Linked DNA regions of Macaca fascicularis. The protein of the gene in region 1 interacts with the protein of each later gene in a biochemical or structural test. Links are inferred from orthologs where the notes say so. Each region holds a gene or a part of one and is shown on either strand. Other genes may lie near its edges. The genes, in order: PTPRC, LCK and CSK.

Region 1 (7,194 bases):
AGAGAATGCAAATTTCCTGAAAACTAATATTTTTTTCTGCCTTATATTCTGTAGCATTTCCACAGACTGTCTTCCTTTTTATCTTCACAGTCCTTCTTATCTTCTAACCTATTTCACCATTTACTTATTTCTTCTGTTTATTATTAATTATCTATTTTTCTTCACTAGAGAGTAAGTTCTATGAGAACAGGACTCTTGTTTTTCTTTTTGTAGATATCCTAAGTGCCTAGAGCTGAATTTGGCAGACGACCAAAGGCCAAAAATATTTTTTGTGAATAGTGAATAATTAGTGCTTACTACGTCCCAGCCACCGTGCTACGTGTTTACTGTGAATCAACACCTTTAGTCACATTTTAGGATTTTGGGAAAGGAGGGACAAAGATAATAAGAAATCTGGCCAAGTTCCCAACTAAGAAGTGGTAGAGCTAGGGTTGGAAGCTAAGCAGTCTGGCTCTGGAGCTGAGGCTCTTAAGTCACCGCATTATTTTGCTGCATTTTCACTACATAAGAAAAGGTGAATATACTGGAGATATTTCCAACACACCCTCTCTTCTATGCCCTTTCCTTAGGAAAAGGCAGGATTTCACATTAAACTTAGTGAATATTTAAGTCAGGGTAAGTCTTATCCTAACTACAGAATGAAACCATTTTTGTCTCTTGAATTGATTTTACACCTCAATGAACAGGTAAGAGGGTTTATCTTTGTGAAGTAGAAGTCTTTCTCATCCCCTTAAGAGACTACCCTCTTCTGCATACGAAGTTAAACTATATGAGTTTGTCTCCAAAAATTATAATAACTGGATTACCTCCTTGATCCCTTCAAACTGAAGTGTCTGGAAAAAAGAGAATTAAATTTAAATGTGTCTTATAAAAGAACTTTATTTAATCAAGAGAAAGAGAATTGTTCTTCTCTTCTTACTCTCCTTAAATATAAAATGTTTTTATTGGTTCTAAACAATATGGCCAAAATCACAGAATTAGAACTTTATTGTATTTGACCTTATTCTAAAATGTTTATTTTTTCAAACCTCACAATAAATTGAAAAATATTAAAATGTAAATACTTTGGAGGTGATTATTCAACCAGTCTAGCAAGTTGTTTGACAATGGTTCTCTGAATGTATTATTTTTCATTTCTAGATAATTCTAAGGCACTGATAGCATTTCTGGCATTTCTGATTATTGTGACATCAATAGCCCTACTTGTTGTTCTCTATAAAATCTATGATCTACATAAGAAAAGATCCTGGTAAGAGTTGATTATGAATTTTCAAATAATAATGGTAGTAGTAATGGTGCAAACACATATCCATATGGCAGTGAGGGAACCAGTTAAATGAAATACATGAACTAGAGAGAAGACAGCATAAAGCCCACTTCATGACGGAACTTTTAATCAAAAACTTTTAGTATGGTTTTATTGGTTTGAATTAAACATTAATGTTATTTTCCTAATTTACTAATAATATTGTGGACTTGTTTAATAATAACCAGTGAAAAGAACGTGTGTGTTTTTTAGTACAAAGTGGGTCAGAGGGATCTAGGAGTGACGAAAGCAAAAGAAAGGAGGTAGATGTCTGGGGAAGTTAATGTGTTTCGTTGGCCAGAAACAACCACATCTTATGAAAAACAGAAGATTTAAAATAAAATCATTTGGCTACTTATGTGAGTTTAGCAAACAAGTCTTGGTTGTTTCTTTTCCTCCCTCACCCTCCTCTCTCCTCTCTGACTCTCCTCTCTCCCATCCTTCTGTCCTCCCTTTGCTCCAGGCTCTCTTCCTGCCTTCCCTCCTTTCCTCTTCTCCTTTCCTCTCTTCTCCTTTTCTTCTCCCTGACTTCCTTCCTTTCCCTTCAATGTATTCATTAAATATAAGTTAAATACCAACTGAATTCTGTGCTTCTTGAGAATATAGAAACTTATTTTTCCTGTTTTCACAGCAATTTGGATGAACAACAGGAGCTTGTTGAAAGGGGTAAGTATGCATATTTTTTGCTGATGAATATTCCTTCCCCTGCATTTGAATCCATTCATTTTATTTCATTTATTTATTTATATTTATTTTAAGACAGAGTCTCATTCTGTCGCCCAGGCTGAAGTGTGGTGGTGTAATCTCTGCTTACTGCAGCCTCTGCCTCCAGGTTCAAGCAATTCTCTTGTGCCTCAGCTTCCCAAGTATCTGGGATTACAGACACAAAGCACCAGGCCCAGCTAATTTTTGTATTTTTAGTAGAGATGGGATATCACCATGTTGCCCATACTGGTTTCGAACTCCTGGCCTCAAGTAATCCGCCCACCTTGGCCTCCCAAAGTGCTGGGATTACAGGCATGAACCACTGTGCCCAGTCCCATTCATTTTAAATAAGAACCGGGCATTTTTAATTTAACTTGGACTTCTGTTGATACAGTGATAAAACTTAAATTCCTTTACTCACTCAGCACCTGTGAAGTTCCCAGTGTACGCCAAGCATTGTGCCAGGTACTGAGAGTACTACAGTGACAGGCACAGACTCTGCCCTTAAAGGGTTTGTAATCTAATAGAGGAAAGCAGATATATCAAGAAATACGACGGTAATTTGATACATGCCCTAGTAGTTGAATGTGTATGATTCTATACATATATAGAAGATAGAAAACTGTGTGCGAGGGCGGAAATCTGGTCTGTTAAGATTGTGGGGAACCAATGGACCAACAAATTAGGGAGTGGTGGAGGGAAGAGTGGATGGAAGTCACAGAGATGGGGAGATGGTACATCTCCTCAAGTCCCTGCCGGGGTGGAATGCTGGCTGCTCCCACTAAAGACGCATTTATGGACAGGATAAAGAACAGCAATTTTACTTAGGAGAAGAAAACAAATTTGTTTATCTTTTTTTTCAACATTTATATTATTTAATTTTTTTAAAATGTGATTTCTAATCCAATAAAAAGGGACAAAGTTGAACCTTTGCAGAAATTGAACTTTTGTTTACAATAAAGAAATTTACTTGCTTTCTCATGCTTAAGACAGGAATAATTTCAGAAGTCCTTTGTGTTAATCTGTGTTAGAAGTGTTTCCCTCTGGTAATAGCAGGTACCAGGTCTCTATGCAGAAACTTTAGGGTTGAATCTTTTGTGCTCCTTAAAAGGCTTTATTTTTATTTGCAGAATGTAACACTATCTGACCCCTTATTACATATTTATTCATTTGGTTGTTGATTATACTCCCCTAACTAGAATGTAAGCTTTGTGAAAGCATGGAGGCTTTTTTTCTTATTTACTGCTTTATGCCCAGTACCAAAGTGAGTATCTAGGATTTGATAAATATTAGTGAATAAATAACACTGAGATAGGGTATCCTGAGGATTCATTTTCATAAGCTGAGGGAGGAATGAAGAGCACAATCAGTAATAAACACCTGAGCAGAAAAGGAAAATCCATCTCAAGGAGTTAAGGTGGACTTGGAAAGTGTCAATGAAATATTTTATCTCAAAATTGATTCTGATTGCACCTTGGAATGCAGTAGAATTTACTCATTCAGACCCCATGAAACCCTGAATGTGGCCCTCAGTTCAGAATGAATGAATACCAGGCATTCCCAACAACCTAAAGAAACAATTGCATATAGCCAGTTTGATAGCTGTGATTGGATAGAAAGTTTCCATGGGTAGTAAGACAAATGGGTTGCCCTCATGGATACCTTTTTTCTTTATCTGTTAAATGGGTAAAATTAATATGATTACTGAAAGAAATACTATCAGTAGTACATGGAAGAGTGGGAGAAACATACTTTTTATATATGTGACAGATTAAATTATCTTACCTTTCTAAAGGGTTTGGTTTTCAAGTTCCATATGCAATTATAGCTTTTTATGGTTAGTATACTTTTACTATTTAGTAAGTTATTTCACAAACATAGTATATCATGTGTTTCATGTACTTGAAGCAAAACGAATTAACACAACTGTTTCACCGTTTAGTGTAAACAGATGATCAAATTAAGCTGTGTCATGGGTATAAGGGTATTAATCATATTGTCTTATTTCATTTGCATGTTTACAGCATTTTACAAGTTGAAAATGAAAACAATACAAAGAAAAATAATAATTGTATTATAAATAAATAAGTATGGCAATTGCTATAAAATACATATTATCAAACAAATGTGAATGTCCTTATAATGGTGATGTTTAGTCTGGCATCCCTTCTCTAAGCATAGAAAATGGGGAAGAACATTCTGGTAGAGGGAACAATATAAAGCCCGGAAGAGATCTGAAGTACAAGATTGAGCAGTCATTGATTTGTAGGTAAATGTTTGGATGTGAGTGAGATTTCTCAGATGAAATGTATACGAAGAGGAAAGAAGCTAAAGGATTGAGTACACGGTGTAAATTTAATGAAATGTGTATGCCCACCTGAAAGACACATATAACTAGTACTGAATCTTTAATATGTTTCCAGATGATGAAAAACAACTGATGAATGTGGAGCCAATCCATGCAGATATTTTGTTGGAAACTTATAAGAGGAAGATTGCTGATGAAGGAAGACTTTTTCTGGCTGAATTTCAGGTGTGTGTTGCTTTTGTTATATGATAAATTCAACATCAAGACAATTCCACTTTAAATGTATTTATATTGCAATTTGCCTTCATAATTTATCCCACTTGATATTGCAACATAAGCAAAATAGATATTATTAGCAGATATCTATGAACCAGAAGGAGACTCATAGAGGTTGACGAGATTATAGTGTGGAGCTAGTAAATATTTCAATGTAATGCTTTATTGTATTATGAAGTTGTGTCACAAAATGTATTTGGCTGATTTTGTAGTTGTACTCTAGGTACTCATCCAAGTATCTGTTTTTAAATGAATTTGATAGTGACACAACAACTAATCCTAAATTTGTCCCTACTCAAGAGATTTGTTCTGAAAGTTGTCAATCATTAATTTTTTTTAAAAAAGTGATTTTATTTTTACATAATTCCTGATCTTAATTTCAATTACTCTAAGCAAATTTTTTTTAGCAATATGAGGAAAATGTTTTACAGGATATCTCATTTGCTCAAAACGATCATTTTTCCTGAATCTTCTGTGATCCAAGAAATCATTGTTTCTTTCAGAGCATCCCGCGGGTGTTCAGCAAGTTTCCTATAAAGGAAGCTCGAAAGCCCTTTAACCAGAATAAAAACCGTTATGTTGACATTCTTCCTTGTGAGTACTTACCGAGTATTGAATTCCCATATATTTAGGCCACTTGATTATTCATTATTTTACTTGTTTATTTTTCTTTTCCTTAAACAGATGATTATAACCGTGTTGAACTCTCTGAGATAAATGGAGATGCAGGGTCAAACTACATAAATGCCAGCTATATTGATGTGAGTAAAAATTTGCATTTTTCCTTTTTTTTTTTTTTTTTGAGACGGAGTCTCGCTCTGTCGCCCAGGCTGGAGTGCACTGGCGTGATCTCGGCTCACTGCAAGCTCCACCTCCCGGGCTCACGCCATTCTCCTGCCTCAGCCTCCCGAGCAGCTGGGACTACAGGCGCCCGCCACCGCGCCCAGCTAATTTTTTGTATTTTTAGTAGGGACGGGGTTTCACCGTGGTCTCGATCTCCTGATCTCCTGACCTTGTGATCCGCCTGCCTCGGCCTCCCAAAGTGCTGGGATTACAGGCGTGAGCCACCGCGCCCGGCCAAAATTTGCATTTTTCTTATTCCTGTATATTTCATTCAGCTCCTTCTTTGTCTCGGCAAAATTTTAGAAATATTATTAAAAATATTTTGAAGTGAGCCCATATGTCACTGATAAAAACAGAAAATTATTAATATTTGCAAGGATATTTATTATGTGACTATTGGTATTGGGTATAACAGAATTTTCCTCTACAAACAAAATTATATTAAGAATTAATTTAATGTACTCTGGTACCTCTTGTGTGCTAGATATTAGACTAAATAATCTATACATGTATTTCTCAAAAGAAGCCCACATTTGCCTCAGCCATGTGCCATATAAGTGAGGACTGGAAGGCTCAGTTTAGTTAATTACCTTGTCCTTGTTCACACAACTGGTAAATACTTGAGTTGAAATTCAACCAGAGTCTGACTGACTCCAAAATGTTATCCGTTAATTTAATCATACTAAATTTCAGCAGACACTCCTCATCAACACAGATCATCTGTCCACTGGATTTATGCAGAAATGTAAATGTCTGTACGTGGTTAATTTATTTAAAATATCTTAAAATTTAATTTATTATACAAATGTTAAATAATTAATCCATTATATAGGTTAAATAATTTTAAACAGTATAAAAATATATACAGACTGAAAAAATCTTTTTTTCTCCCCAAATCTGCCATTTTCCCAGTGTCCTCACCTACCAGAAGCAACTATATTTTCTATTCAAATATATATGGTAATTATGGTATCAGGTTACTTATGTTTCTCCATTGGAACTTGGAGCTCCCAGAAAGCATATGTCTTCTGCTTTTAGATAGGTGATTAACATATTGTAGCTATTCAATAAATACTTATTAAGTAAATGAATGTATGCGCAATACTGTGTCATGAGATAGAAGTTTCAGGAAGTTACTTAAATTAATGTTGAATTCTTGTGACCCATGTTTCAAATTTAATCCAATGGTAAAGGCCATCTCTTTCTGAAGAGCTCCTTTCATTGCTGAGGTGAATTTAGGAGTCTGAGATAATTCTGGAAGAAGCCAGTATAATATTTTATCTGCCTCTGTACTCCTTTATCTTGGTAACAGGAGCAGAGAAAGCAGACATTGTAGGTAATGAAATGAAAGTTATTATATCTCTTATCCGAAATGGCAGAGAAGTCTAGGGAATCATCATATTCCAGCAGAAATTAAGAGGTGAAAATGCGGGTAAAATCCAAGAATGATTTGTTGAAAGAAATTGAGTAAAAATCCCAAAAGTAACTGCATGGCTGGTGAGCAGGTTTAAACAGTGGCAGATGATCCTATAAGAGTTGGCAGGATATAAAATGTTGAAATGTCTAGAGCACTTTTGTAAATTATAACAACATCCCAGATGAAGATGAAGCCTAGTGTTAAAATTGCTTGAAGTTTACAGCAAAGATACATGAAAGTCATGAATATTCTTTGCAAATGCTAACATGTTGAGCAAATTAAATGCCTGACCACCAATTAATAAGATCCCCTTAATACTTTGAAACTGCCCAGAGAAAT
Region 2 (7,194 bases), about 150 Mb from region 1:
TGCTTCAAGCTCTTCACTGCCACCTTTGTGTGCCCGTTGTAGTACCCTGGATCGGGGAAGGGAAGGAGTGGGAGAGTCGCCAGGCAGCTGTCCTGGGACTCTCACCACCTCAGCAGCCCCTCCCGTTCCCCTCTTCCCGGGCAGTCCTGGAGGCCACACTCACCCATCCACACCTCCCCGAACTGTCCAGCCCCCAGCCGCTCCACCAGCTTCAGCGTCTCCCTGGGAACCTCCCACTCGTCCTCCCACCATGGCTTCTGGGGCTTCTGGGTCTGGCAGGGGCGGCTCAGCCGTGTGCACAGCCCATCTGAAGCATCTGCGAGGACAAGGGAGGGGTGAAGACTGTCAATATGGCAGGCCTCGTATTGACACCACTTCCCCCACTTCTCCAAGCTCCTATCTAGGTGAAGTGGACTAGCAGGGGGGTGTGGGGCTGTCACCCAAACACTTGGGTCCGTAGGGTCAAGTTCCACACCTCACCCACTGCGGGGAATGGAGGAGCGCATTGAAAGATGGATGGGGGACACCCGAGGGGGACTGAGGGGAGATAGGCTGATAGGGCACGGGGGAGGGGTCCTGCCGGGCTCACTGGTGTAATGGCGGACCAGTTCATGCAGGCCGGGAAAAGTGATTCGGGGGGAGATGTAGAAGCCACCGTTGTCCAGATTACGGATTTTGTAATGTTTCACCACCTCTCCCTGGTTCTGGTCGAAGTCCCGGACCGACAGTGAAAACGATCCTGAATGAATGAATGGATGGACAAAGGGACTAAAGAACGCAGTGAGTCTGGCCCGCCACCGCGCCCCCCTCGGGCTCACCCCGCGTCCCCACCTCGGGCTCACCCTGCGCTCCCCCTCGGACTCACCCCGTGTCCCCATCGGGCTCACTCCGCGTCCCCACCTCGACCTCACCCTGCGCTCCCCCTCGGACTCACCCCGCGTCCCCATCGGGCTCACTCCGCGTCCCCACCTCGGGCTCACCCTGTGCTTCCCCTCGGACTCACCCCGCGCCCCCCTCGGGCTCATCCCGCGCCCCCACCTCGGGCACACCCTGCGGCACCCCCGCGCCCGGTCGAGACCACTGCCCGCTCACCCGCGGTGCTCTCGCTCTCCCGGATGAGGAAGGAGCCGTGAGTGTTCCCGGGCGCCAGGAGCTGCCGCTCCGCGTCCTTGCGGCTCAGGTTCTTGAAGAACCAGCTGTGCACGGCGGAAGCGAACGAAGGCTGTCGTCGGATATTCCTCCGTGGCCCTCAAGCCTTCACCGCCACCCCAGGCCCACTCCCTGCTCCAGGATCCCTAGATCTGCTCCCGCTCACCCCCACGACGGGTCCCCACTTACGGTTCGGGCTCCAGGCTGTTCGCCTTGGCCACAAAATTGAAGGGGATGAAGCCTTCCTGGCCTGTGGTCAGGGACTGCGCCTTCCACCACTCGCCGCTCCTGCGCCACGGAGGCGGATCAGTGTGGCTAGCTCAGCCGTCGACCTGAGACCCTCCCTCAAAGACCCCTCCACCCCTTAAGCCAGCCTCGCCGAACCCTGGCTCAGCAGTCCTGAGCCTTGAATTTTGTCCCAAGGGCGGCCACCCCAACCGGTGGCCTCAGGAGGGCTGCGGTCCCGGAGATCGCGCTCCCTCACGGACTCCTCCAGAGCAAGGTGGAGAGGGACTCACTGCTCCAGGATGCGGAGCTGCTCCCCCTTCTCAAAGCCCAGGTCTCCGTCGTGAGAGGGCTCATAGCTGTGCAGGGCGATAACCAGGTTGTCTGTAAAAACAAGGGGCATCAGGGAGAACCGGGCTGGGATGGGCAGAAAGCCTGGAGTTACAGGGCGGGGGACAAGGAAGGCAGGACCGGGGAGAGAGTAGGTGGGGGTGAGGTGGAAGCCAACAGCCAGGGATCGGCAGGCCTTGTCTTTCAGGCCCTGCTGCCTGGGGTCACCTTGCAGTGGGGAGGCCGGCGGATTGGAGCCTTCGTAGGTGACCAGTGGGTCCCGCACCTCAGAGCCATTTCTGATGAGCAGCTGTGGAGTAGGGGATGAGGGTGGGGTCAGAAAGCAGAAGACTGGGTTAGACTCTGGCCCCCTTCCCCCCTGCCCTGCTCTCAGTCTCTCCAGCCTGGTTGGGTGTATCCCTGAGTCTACCAGCTACTTGCTGTGTGATCTTAGGAGAGTCATTTCTTTCTCCTGGGTTGCATGCTCTACCCAACTCCCTCACCAAGGCCCCTGTCTCGCCTCTTACCGTGCCCTTGCCATCCAGTGGGACTATGGGATAATGGCAGTTCTCACACACATCGATGTTTTCCATCCAGTCATCTTCCGGGTGTGAGCTGCAGCCACAGCCCATGGTCCCTGAGGGAATGGAGAGGGGGCTGAAGGGGCTCCCCCAAGATCTGCTCCCCAACATCAGACATCATGGGGCCTTGCCCTGGAAAGTTCCAAAAGTACCTGAGATTGTGAGATCTTGGGATCTCCATTCACCAGCCACAGAAAAGCTAAAAGAGGGGGTCCCAGCTCCAAACCGTTGCTCCCTCTGAGCCCTCAGGCTGCAAGTAAATTCACACACGGCCCCTGAGCTCTAGCCCCACCCTCCCACCTGGGATGGGCAAACCGCCACAGGCACCTTTGTTAGTCTAGTTACCCACTTCCTGCCTCTGCCCCCTCCCTCTCCCTCTGCCGGCACCCTGTGTTGGGAGGACCACCTCCTAGAGATGACACACACTTTCCCAAGCCTGGGGGAGACCTGACTTATCAGACCCTCCCCTACTGGAGAGGTGTGCACGCCCCACCTACTATTATAATTCCCCTGTCTAGCTGAGGAGGCTGAGAAAGAGGCTTCTGCTCCCTAAGTCCACCATCAGGACCCCGCTGTTCCTCTCACATAGCCCCACAGTCACCTCACAGGGTTCCTTCAAACACAGGCGTGCTTCTCCCCAGCAGAAAACCCTCCAGTCAGTCTGTTGGCCATAACTTTTTTTTGTCGCTTATTTGCCTGTGTTAGCACTGGAAATTTTTTGTCTGATGAAATCAAGCAGAACTCCATAGATAAAGCGATAAGTGTGTGGGCCTGTTTTGTCTGAAGCAGAATGGGGCCCTCACTTTGAAGCCCCCGGAGTCCCTGCAGCTCCTCCTTGTCTAGGGCTGCTCCTCAGAGCGGTTGGAAAGCGCTGTCCTCAAATAAAGTTTGATGTACCGTGCATTCCAGAACTTCAAGATCAAATCCACCTTCGCAGTCCATTCTGCTACACACACACTCTCTCACACACACACACTCACACACACCCTATATATACACACACCCTACACACACACACACAGAGGCACCCCCATCCCACCTCCACAGAGGCATCCACACACACTTTCACATACACACACACTCACCCCTCACAGGTACCCCCCCACACTCACACACAGACTCACCCTCCCACACACAGGCACCCACACTCACACTCAATAAACACATACTCTCACCCCCCAAAAGTGCCCCCCCACACACACAGGCACCCACCCTCACACACACACATTCACACACACACTCTACACATATTCCCCACACACACAGGCACCCACACCCACAAACACACACTCATCCACACACCCACACAGTCACACCCACAAACACACCCACATACACACACACACACAGGCACCCACACCCACACACATGACCCCCACACACACATTCATACACACACACAGGCACCTCCACATACCCACACCCATGCACACACCCACACACTCACCCCCACATACACTCACACACATGCACAGGCATCTCCTCCATACATACCCCCACACACCCACACTCACACACACAAACACACCCACACACAGGCACCCCCACACACACCTCCACACACAGCCTGTGTTCTGAACTATTCTTGCCTTTCCCAGACACCCCATGCTATTTTCTTTTTTTTCTTTTTTTTTTTGAGATGGAGTCTCACCGTGTCGCCCAGGCTGGAGTGCAGTGGCCGGATCTCAGCTCACTGCAAGCTCCACCTCCCGGGTTTACGCCATTCTCCTGCCTCAGCCTCCCGAGTAGCTGGGACTACAGGCGCCTGCCACCTCGCCCAGCTAGTTTTTTGTATTTTTTAGTAGAGACGGGGTTTCACCGTGTTAGCCAGGATGTTCTCAATCTCCTGACCTCGTGATCCGCCCGTCTCGGCTTCTCGAAGTGCTAGGATTACAGGCTTGAGCCACCGCACCCGGCCGCTATTTTCTTACTTAATGCCTTTGTACTTGTGGATCCCTCTGCTGTGAAATGTGCCCTCTTTCTCTCTCTCTTTCTCTCTCTCTCTCGAGACAGGGTCCCCCTTCCTTGCCCAGGCTGAAGTGCAGTCGTGCAATCCCCTTAGACCCCCTGGGCTCAAGCAGTCTTCCCACCTCAACCTCCCCAGCAGCTAAGACTAAAGGTGCACACCATCATGCCCAGCTGATTACTTTTTTGTAGAGATGAGGTCTCACTATGTTGCCCAGTCTGGTCTCGAACTCCTGGGCTCAAGCAATCCTCCTGCATTGGCCTCCCAAAATGCTAGGATTATAGGCATGCACCACTGAACCCAGTCGGCATGCTCTCTTTTGTCCACCTGCTGAATTCTAACTCAACCTTCAAGGCTCAGTTCAAATATTACCCTTTTTTTTTTTTTTTCCTGCAACTTCTACCTTCCAGGTTCAAACAATTCTCCTCCCTCAGCCTCCTGATAGCTGGGATCACAGGCATGCACCATCATGCTTGGCTAACTTGTAATTTTAGTAGAGGCAGGGTTTCACCATGTTGGCCAGGCTGGTCTTGAACTCCTGGCCTCAAGCAATCCTCCTGCCTCAGCCTCCCAAAGTGTTGGGATTACAGGAACCTAGCCTAAATATCACCTAGTCTGTGAAGACTTCCCAATGGTCTTTGCTTCCCTCTCACCCCAGTCTCTTGCAACATTCTATTCAGACCTCAATAATCAACTTAGGCACAGAGTTCCACGATTACTGATTCACGTGTCACCCCAAGGTCCCACTGCCTCTCCCATACCTTTGATGAGAGTGGGGGTTCATCAAGAGCAGAAACTGTAGTTTATTCGTCTGAAAGCCTCCAGCACCCAAAATTAGTTAATAAATGTCAACTGGAACGTGGAGTGTTAATGCACAGAGTCTCCCATCTGCAAAGGTCTTAGAAACCAGCAAGCCTAATCTCCAATTTTACTATTTGTTGATCTATTTTTGAGATAATGTCTCACTTTTTTGCCCTGACTGCAGTGCAATGACCCAATCCTAACTCACTGAAAACTCAAACTCCTGGGCTCAAGTGATCCTCTAACCTCAGCCTCCTGGGTAGCTGGCACCACTGAGCCCAGGTGATTTTTTGTTTGTTCTAGAGATGGGGGTATTGCTATGTTGCTCGGACTGGTCTCAAACTCCTGGCCTCAAGTGATCCTTCCTCCTTGGCCTCCCAAAGTGCTGGGATTACAGGCATGAGCTGCTATACCTGGCTAAACCTCTGATTTTAGATGAGCAAACTGAGGCCCACAGAGGTATGCTTAAAGTCACACAACCTATTTGGAGTAGAGCAAACCTGGAGTTGCTGGCTGGGCGTGGTGGCTCACATCTGTAATCCCAGCACTTTGGGAGACTGAGGCAGTAGGATCATTCAAACTCAGAAGTTCCAGACTAGCCTGGGCAACATAGTGAGACCTCACCTCTAGAAAAAAATCAAAAAATTAGCCAGGTGTGGTGGTGCACGCCTGTACTTCCAGCTACTCGGGAGGCTGAGGCAAAAGATCACTTGAGCCCAGGAGCTCAAGAGTGCGATGAGCTATGATTGTGCCACTGCACTCCAGCACTCCAGCCTGGATAACAGAGCGAGAACCTGTCTAAAAAAAAAAAAGGCTGGACTTGGTGGCTCACACCTGTAATCCTAGCACTTTGAGAGGCCAAGGTGGGCAGATCACAAGAGATCAAGACCATCCTGGCCAACATGGTGAAACCCTGTCTCTACTAAAAATACAAAAATTAATTGGGCATGGTGGTGGGTGCCTGTAATCTCAGCTACTCAGGAGGCTGAGGCAGGAGAATAATTTGAACCCGCGAGGCGGAGGTTGCAGTGAGCCAGGATTGTGCCACTGCACTCCAGCCTGGCAACAAAGCGAGACTCCATCTCAGAAAAAAAAAAAAAAAAAAAAAAAAAAGCAGGCTGGGCACGGTGGCTCATGCCTGTAATCCCAGCACTTTGGGAGGCTGAGGCGGGTGGAGCACGAGGTCAGGTGTTCAAGATCAGCCTGACCAACATGGTGAAACCCTATCTCTACTAAAAATACAAAAATTAATCAGTTGTGGTGGCGTGCACCTATAATCCCAGCTACTCAGGAGGCTGAGGCAGGAGAATCACTTGAACCCGGGAGGCAGAGGTTGCAGTGAGCCAAGATCACGCCACTGCATTCCAGCATGGACAACAGAGCGAGACTCTGTCTCAAAAAAAAAAAGCAGGCTGGGCACGGTGGCTCATGCCTGTAATCCCAGCACTTTGGGAGGCCAAGGTGGGTGAATCACCTGGAGTCAGAAGTTCAAGACGACCAGCCTGGCCAACATGGTGAAACCCCGTCTCTACTAAAAATACAAAAATTAGCTGGGTGTGGTGGCGCGCTTCTGTAATCCCAGCTACTCAAGAGGCTGGGGCAGGAGAATTGCTTGAACCAGGGAGGTGGAGGTTGCAGTGAGCCAAAATCACGCCATTGCACTCCAGCCTAGGTGACAGAGCAAGACACCATCTCAAAAAAAAAAAAAAAAAAAAAAAATAGAATCTTCCTCCGAGCTGCTGTACCTGGCCAAATCTTTGATTAAAATTTAAACTTGAGGCCAGGTGCAGTGACTCACATCTGTAATCCCAGCACTTTGGGAGGCTGAGGAGAGAGGATTGATTGAGCCCAGGAGTTTGAGACCAGCCTGGACAATGTGGTGTGGCCCTTCCTCTATTTAAATTGTTTTTTAACTTGAAAATAAGAAAATTTGCATCTAAATGAGGTAGCTTAGTAGGTAAAAACTTTAAAATCATGAGATCCATGTGGGGAAGAGGGTGTGCAGAACAGGAAATGGTAAAAGACACCTTGTCTTCACAAGAGTTTAGGAAACACTAATACAGTTCACCAGCCTCATTTTAAAACTAGGGAAGGCTGGGCGCGGTGGCTCACGCCTGTAATCCCAGCACTTATAGGAGGCTG
Region 3 (6,357 bases), on another chromosome or scaffold:
CTGAGGCAGAAGAATTGCTTGAATCCAGGAGGCGGAGGTTGCAGTGAGCTGAGATTGTGCCGGTGCTCTCCAGCTTTGGCGACAGAGTGAGACTCCGTTTCATAAATAAATAAAACCAAGTGGCAGACTCAGCCTCCTTCTCTGTGCCTTCTGGGAGGCGGGGACCCTGGTGGCTTCCTCCTCTTGAAGTTCTTTTCCCTTGGCTTTTATGACATGGCACTTGTGTGGTCAACCTCCTCTTCTTGACCTTTTTTTTTTTTTTTTTTTGAGATGCATTTTCGCTCTTGTTGCCCAGGCTGGAGTGCAGTGGCATGATCTCGGCTCACTGCAACTTCTGCCTCCCTGGTTCAAGCAATTCTCCTGCCTCAGCCTCCTGAGTAGGTGGGATTACAGGTGTGCCCCACCACCCCTGGCTAATTTTATATTTTTAGTAGAGATGAGGTTTCACCATGTTGGTCAGGCTGGTCTCTAACTCCTGACCTCAAGTGATCCACTGGCCTTGGCCTCCCGAAGTGTTGGGATTACAGGTGTGAGCCACCGCGCCCGGCTTCTTTGCAGTTTCAAAGCTTCACTTAAAACTCAATGTGTGGCTGGGTGTGGTGGCTCACACCTGTAATCCCAACACTTTGGGAGGCTGAGGCAGGAGGACCGTTTGAGCCCAGGAGTTCAAGGCTAGCCTAGGCAACATAGGGAGACCTCGTCTCTACAAAAAATTTAAAAATTAGCCGATCATGGTGGCATGCACTTGTAGTCCCAGCTACTTGAGAGGCTGAGGCAGGAGGACTGCTTCAGCTTGGGAGGTCAAGGCTGTAGTGAGCTGTGTTTGCACCACTGGACTCTAGCCTGGGCGACAGAACGAGACCCTGTATCAAAATAACAAAAACCTTAACATGGTCTTAACAGAGCTCGTGATGCTCCCTCCTAAGCATGAGTCTCCCATCCTTGCTCAGCGGATGCCCCCTGCTGCCCTCCCTGCATCCGTTCTGCTCAGTCAGGCCTTGCTGTGGCCTCTCCCTCTCCTCCACCCTCACACAGAATCCATAGCCAAGTTCGGTCAATTTTAGCTCTGGGGCTAAATCTCTCTGGAGACCGTCTCTCATCTGGACCAGTCCTCACTGTACTTCCTGAAACTCCTCTACCAGTAGCTAGGGTGGTTTCAAAAACACGTATCTGGGCCGCGTGCAGTGGCTCACGCCTGTAATCCCAGCACTTTGGGAGGCCAAGGTGGTGGATCACTTGAGGTCAGGAGTTTGAGACCAGCCTGGGCAACACGGTGAAACCCCGTTTCCACTAAAAATACAAAAATTAGCCAGGCTGTGGTGGCGCATGCCTGTTGTAATCCCAGTAACTTGGGAGGCTGAGGTAGGACAATCGCTTGAACCCAGGAGATGGAGGTTGCAGTGAGCTGAGATGGCACCACTGTACTCCAGCCTGGGTGACAGAGTGAGACTTCATTTAAAAAAAAAAAAAGATTATCTGACATGTCACCCTCCTGATGAAACTTGTCGTTGGCTTCCCATTATTCTGTTTGATAAAAGCCAAGTCTTTGCCACAGCCACAGTCTCACCTCTCAGGCCTGGCTGTTTGTACATCCTCACCCACCTTCTTGGAGATCTGACAAAGCTGCCCTCCGTCCAGTCTCAGCATTTCTTCCTGGAATGCTGCTAACTCCTGCCGTACAACCTGTTCATTCCGCTTCAGATCTCAGCTTAAATGCTGCTTCTTTCCAGAAGCCCTCCCTGATCTACAAAGATTCCCATGTTTTGTGTTCCTCCTGTAGCACTTAAGTTTGTCACCGCCTATATGTGACTATTTGATTGTCTTCCCAACTGTGGACTCCACAGGGTGTGTTTTGCTTACTGATGAACCCCAGTCCTAGCAAACAGTAGGTATTCAAATATTTGTTGTTGAATGAATGGTGTAGTTTTAGAAAAATTAGTCTGGCAGTGTGCAGAGAAGATGGAGTGGAGGTGGCAAGGAGGCTGTTGCACTGGGCCAGGAGAGATCATGGTGGATGGAACTACAGCGGGGCTGAGGAACAGACACAAGGTAGACTTCAAAGTCAGATCTCCCTGGATTTCAGGTCCTGTTGGCTGGTAGAGGAAGCGTCAGGGCCACAAAAGGACAAGGGGAACACCCCACCTGCCTGCCTCAGGGAATACATGAAGCCTCCTCACACCTTCAGAGGTTCTGTACTGACCACTGCCCCTGGACAACCTGAGTGAGGGGAGAAAATCTCATGGCTGGTCCACATTCCCTGTATGTGCCCTGACAAGGTGGGGTGGGGAGTGAGTCCCCCTGACTGGAAGGTGCCAAGATTTCCCCTCTGCCCTGCATCCTCAGCCCCTGCCAAGTCTGGTATGACATAAGGCCTGGCACATGGCAGGGGTGGGGACAGGGCAAAGCTGTGACATCATGGGTAAAAGTAGAGAACCACCAGGAGCTTTCTTGTACCCCTCCGGGTCAGCATCTTCTCAGGCATAAGACGCTTCTCTTCCTACCAGAGGAAGCCCACTGGGCCCACCATTGCTTTTTCTCTCTCTCGCACAGGGGGCTTGACTAGAATCCCGTTCCCATCTGTGCAGGCCTGGGCTCCCTCCCATCCCTGGCTCTAGCCCTCCTTGTGCTGCAGGCTTGAACAACACACCAGGGGAGGCAGCTGGAACCCCCAGGCAGCATCCTGTGGACGGGGCTCCAGAGCTGGGCTCGGCGGTAGCTGGACAGTGGGGCGGGTGGTGAGCACTTCCCCGAGGGCAAACACAGGACACTCACTCGTGCAGCTGACACAAAGCGGCGGCTACATCTCCCGGCCATGCTCCCCACCCAGCCCCACTCACAGAGACAGGGGGATGGACAAGATGGCATGGGAGGGACGACCGGGCAGGACAGGCAGGCTCGGTGGAGGAAGCGCCGAGGCGGGCGGCGGTGTCCTCATGGCGTGGTTTATTACGATTCCATCTCACAAGGCGGGTGGGCGGGTGGCAGCGGCACACGAAATCCAAGCCCCTGACAGACGTCTGCCTCGGGCGCATGCAAACAGTGCAACATGGTCAAGCGCAAACACGGGGCGACCGAGGAGACACGGGACATGGGACACGGAATGGGGAATGAGGCTGGGGCGAGGGGTCCCTAGAGAGGGGCCCGGTCCCCCCCACCCTCATGGGCAGGACAGGAAAAATAAGATTCGTACTTCTTGTAAAATGCCCATTTGCTGGGTACTTTCTTTCTCCTTATCTTGAAAAATAATAAAAAATAAACACACGGAAAAAAAATCTCAAAAAAGGAAAGGAATAAAACTCTTAAGAAGGCGAGCGGCGGGAGGCCAAGGAAGCCCGACGTGGTGGGGCACTGCCTCCCGCTCCGTGGCCTCCTTCCTCCCTGGCCCCTCAGTGGGCTCCCCAGGCCCCACACGTGGGTCCAAGAGAGACGGGGCCGGAGGGATGCAGGCTGGGACACAGGAAAAAGGCCCACCAGCCCGCTGGGGCTCAGTTCAGGCTCGGGCCCAGTGAGCAGGGGCACCAGGTCCATGATCTTCCAGGTTCAGTCCCCACAGGCCCATGACCCGGGCGGAGGCCAGCCGTCACAGGTGCAGCTCATGGGTTTTGATGTGCTCAAGCTGCTCTCGGAGCTGTAGGAAGGATGGCCGCATGGCGGCGTCCAGGTGCCAGCAGTTCTTCATGACCTCATAGACTGCGGGCGGGCAGCCATCGGGGGCATCCATCTTGTAGCCCTTCTCCACCCGAGGGACGACGTCCTTCAGGGGCTGTGGCCAGGAGGATGGCAGGAGTCAGTCCAGGGCCTGGCCCCAGAGAAGACATCTACCCAGCAGCCTCTCAGGGATGCCCATCAGCTCTGCCCCAGACCCAGGCCCGGAGAGTGGCCTGTGAGCTCCCCAGGGCAGGCCTGAGGCTTCCAGGCCTTGACTGGGGAGGCAGGGCCCAAGGAGGCTCATGCCCCTGCCAACCCCTTCGTTGCTCCAAGAGCCACCCTGATCCCAGTACCTATACTCACAATTCTTGGATAAGGCACTCGCCCAAAGGAGTAGATTTCCCAGAGAAGGATTCCGAAACTCCACACGTCAGACTTAGTGGAGAATTTCTGCCATGTGGATGGAAAAAGCAGCGTCAGATCCTGGGACTCTAGGGGTGGGGAGCGACCCAGGACTCCTGCCCACCTCTGTAGGCCCCAGGGGAGGCCTGCCCCACCTTCTCTCTCAGGGCCTCAGGGGCTGTCCACTTGACTGGCAGCTTGCCCGTGTCCTGGGTGCTGGACGCCTCCTTGGTGAGACCAAAGTCGCTGACCTTGGCCACGTTGTCCTCAGACACCAGCACGTTGCGGGCAGCCAGGTCTCGATGCACGAAGTTGTTGCCCTCCAGGTATTCCATGGCCTCGCAGACATCTCTGGGGGTAGGCCAGGCACACGTCCCCTCAGACTGGGGCCCCCATAGCAGGGCAGGGTACCCCTCAAACCCTACCCATCCAAGAGGCTGCTTCACTCACAGCGAGAACTTGAGGAGACAGTCTCCGCCCAGCACTGACCGACCCCGAGACCGCAGGTAGTCCACGAGGCTCCCCTGGGAGAAGGAAGGACAAACCAGGCCCAGAGTCAGATGTGCCCTGCAGCCCTCTCACACAGCAGGCTGGGGCCGGGTGGGTGTTGACACTCCAAGGAGGTGTGAGACAGGGAAGGAGTGGGGAGGGGCCAGGACATCCGTGCTGGACACTGCTCTGTGTTATTCCTGCCTTATCCCTTGACTCTCACAAATCTCTGAGATAAGCTGTTATTATCTCCATTTCCCAGATGTGATGCTGAGGCTTGGAGGTGACATGATTTGTCCAAGGTTACAGTCAATAAACTGTAAACCAGGACAAAAGCCCAGCCCTGGTGACCTCAAAGGTCACTTGGGGTCGGGGAACCGAGGGAGCAGGGGCCCCAGAGCACAGTGGGGGTTTCGGGGCAGTTGGAAAACCCGAGTGCCGGGTCTCAGCAGGTGCCCACCTTGGCCATGTACTCAGTGACGATGTAGAGCCCGCCCTTCTCCTCCACGATCACGCCCAGGAGCTGCACCAGGTTGCTATGCCGCAGTTGCCTGGGGCAGGACGAGAGTGGTCAGAAAGGGGAAGCCAGAGCCTCACTCCTAGCTTAGGCCAACCTCCCCCCTACCCTGCCCCAACTCACGTCATGACTGAAGCTTCAGCCAGGAAGGCCTGGGCGGTGGCGTCATTCTTAATGCACTTGACAGCGACTTTGTTCCCTCGGTAATCGCCCAGCATCACGTCTGGGGGCAGAGAGGTTGGCTTGTTCCCAAGTTCTGAGTCCCTTGGCGCCCCCCCTCAGGCAGCCCAGCCCAGCTCACCTCCGAACTCCCCCTTCCCAATGGTCTGCAGTAGCTTCAGCTCCTTCATGTTCAGGGCCCAGCCACCTGTGGGGAGGGGCCAGTGAGGGCCTGGAGGCTGCTAGGGACATGGCTGGGATGACAGAGGCTGACTGGACTATCAAGCACATGGGGTTCTCTGGAGGTTCCTGGATAAGGGCAGTGCCAGGAAGCCTGCGTGGGAGGAGGTGGGTGGGCAAGAGGTCTGGAGTGGGGTGTACTCACTGCGGTAGAACTCATCCTGGGCCGCCACCGTGCCCTCCATGACCTTTGGTTTAATGAGGCGCGTACAGAGTCCATCTGCGTCTGAGGTGTAGTGCTGCAGGGTGTGGGCGGCAGGGTGCTCAGAGACAGCCCAAGGTGCCCCATATGCACCGTCCAGGCCTGACCACCAGGGGGCGGCAGAGGCCGGCCCCGCCCAGCCTGGAGTCACTGAGTGGGGAGGGCTCCCCATTTCTGGTAGGGCAGGGGTTAGGGAAGTCCCGGATTATGACGTATGGCCCATTTCCCATGCCACCCTACATGTGGCTGCTGGACACTCAGCTGTTGCTACCACTCTGGACCCCACAGGTATCCAATGCAGAGGGCAACCCATGGCTCGGTCCTGACACCAGCCTCTAGCCAGGAGAGCCCAGGACCCCACCCTCACCTGCCACAGGCCAAGCCAGGCCAGCAGGGGAGGAAGATGAGAGTAAATACAGAGGGACACGGGAGGCTGTCTGTGGCTACCGGATGCCAGGTGTGGCCTGGCCAGGACTGGCAGAGCGGGCCTGGGAAGCTGCAGGGACCCGTGGGCATGTCCATGCAGGTTGCGAGAGCCTCAGGGGCCCTGGCGATCAAGGCACATGGCTCATGCTTCTGCGCACACTTCTGGGTATGCAGGTCTGTGAGTGGCTGGAGGAAAGTTAGCTCTGGGATCAGACAGACTCAGAATCCAGTCCTGGCACTAAATTATAGCTGTGTGACCTCAGGTGGGTCCCCT

The links.
Region 2: of the proteins of PTPRC (region 1) and LCK, one has a biochemical effect on the other in vitro, tested with the Homo sapiens proteins (5 studies listed by BioGRID and IntAct, with this or other methods). The link is inferred for Macaca fascicularis from reciprocal best matches to the Homo sapiens genes PTPRC and LCK.
Region 3: of the proteins of PTPRC (region 1) and CSK, one has a biochemical effect on the other in vitro, tested with the Homo sapiens proteins (2 studies listed by IntAct). The link is inferred for Macaca fascicularis from reciprocal best matches to the Homo sapiens genes PTPRC and CSK.

What each region holds. Positions count from the first base shown.
Region 1 is NC_088375.1:56,453,306-56,460,499, forward strand, and holds part of PTPRC (receptor-type tyrosine-protein phosphatase C), read left to right. Parts: intron 1-1,140; coding exon 1,141-1,249; intron 1,250-1,560; exon of another isoform or gene 1,561-1,665; intron 1,666-1,937; coding exon 1,938-1,972; intron 1,973-4,434; coding exon 4,435-4,544; intron 4,545-5,098; coding exon 5,099-5,189; intron 5,190-5,279; coding exon 5,280-5,356; intron 5,357-7,194. UniProt on the Homo sapiens protein: Protein tyrosine-protein phosphatase required for T-cell activation through the antigen receptor. Acts as a positive regulator of T-cell coactivation upon binding to DPP4.
Region 2 is NC_088375.1:202,751,567-202,758,760, forward strand, and holds part of LCK (tyrosine-protein kinase Lck), read right to left. Parts: intron 2,525-7,194; exon of another isoform or gene 2,467-2,524; coding exon of another isoform or gene 2,438-2,466; exon of another isoform or gene 2,418-2,437; 5' UTR 2,397-2,417; coding exon 2,232-2,396; intron 2,015-2,231; coding exon 1,668-2,014; intron 1,438-1,667; coding exon 1,339-1,437; intron 1,197-1,338; coding exon 1,093-1,196; intron 740-1,092; coding exon 590-739; intron 317-589; coding exon 164-316; intron 47-163; coding exon 1-46. UniProt on the Homo sapiens protein: Non-receptor tyrosine-protein kinase that plays an essential role in the selection and maturation of developing T-cells in the thymus and in the function of mature T-cells. Plays a key role in T-cell antigen receptor (TCR)-linked signal transduction pathways.
Region 3 is NC_088381.1:51,921,694-51,928,050, reverse strand, and holds the end of CSK (tyrosine-protein kinase CSK), read right to left. Parts: intron 5,695-6,357; coding exon 5,601-5,694; intron 5,424-5,600; coding exon 5,358-5,423; intron 5,280-5,357; coding exon 5,180-5,279; intron 5,091-5,179; coding exon 5,000-5,090; intron 4,575-4,999; coding exon 4,501-4,574; intron 4,402-4,500; coding exon 4,206-4,401; intron 4,099-4,205; coding exon 4,012-4,098; intron 3,764-4,011; coding exon 3,581-3,763; 3' UTR 2,922-3,580; downstream 1-2,921. UniProt on the Homo sapiens protein: Non-receptor tyrosine-protein kinase that plays an important role in the regulation of cell growth, differentiation, migration and immune response.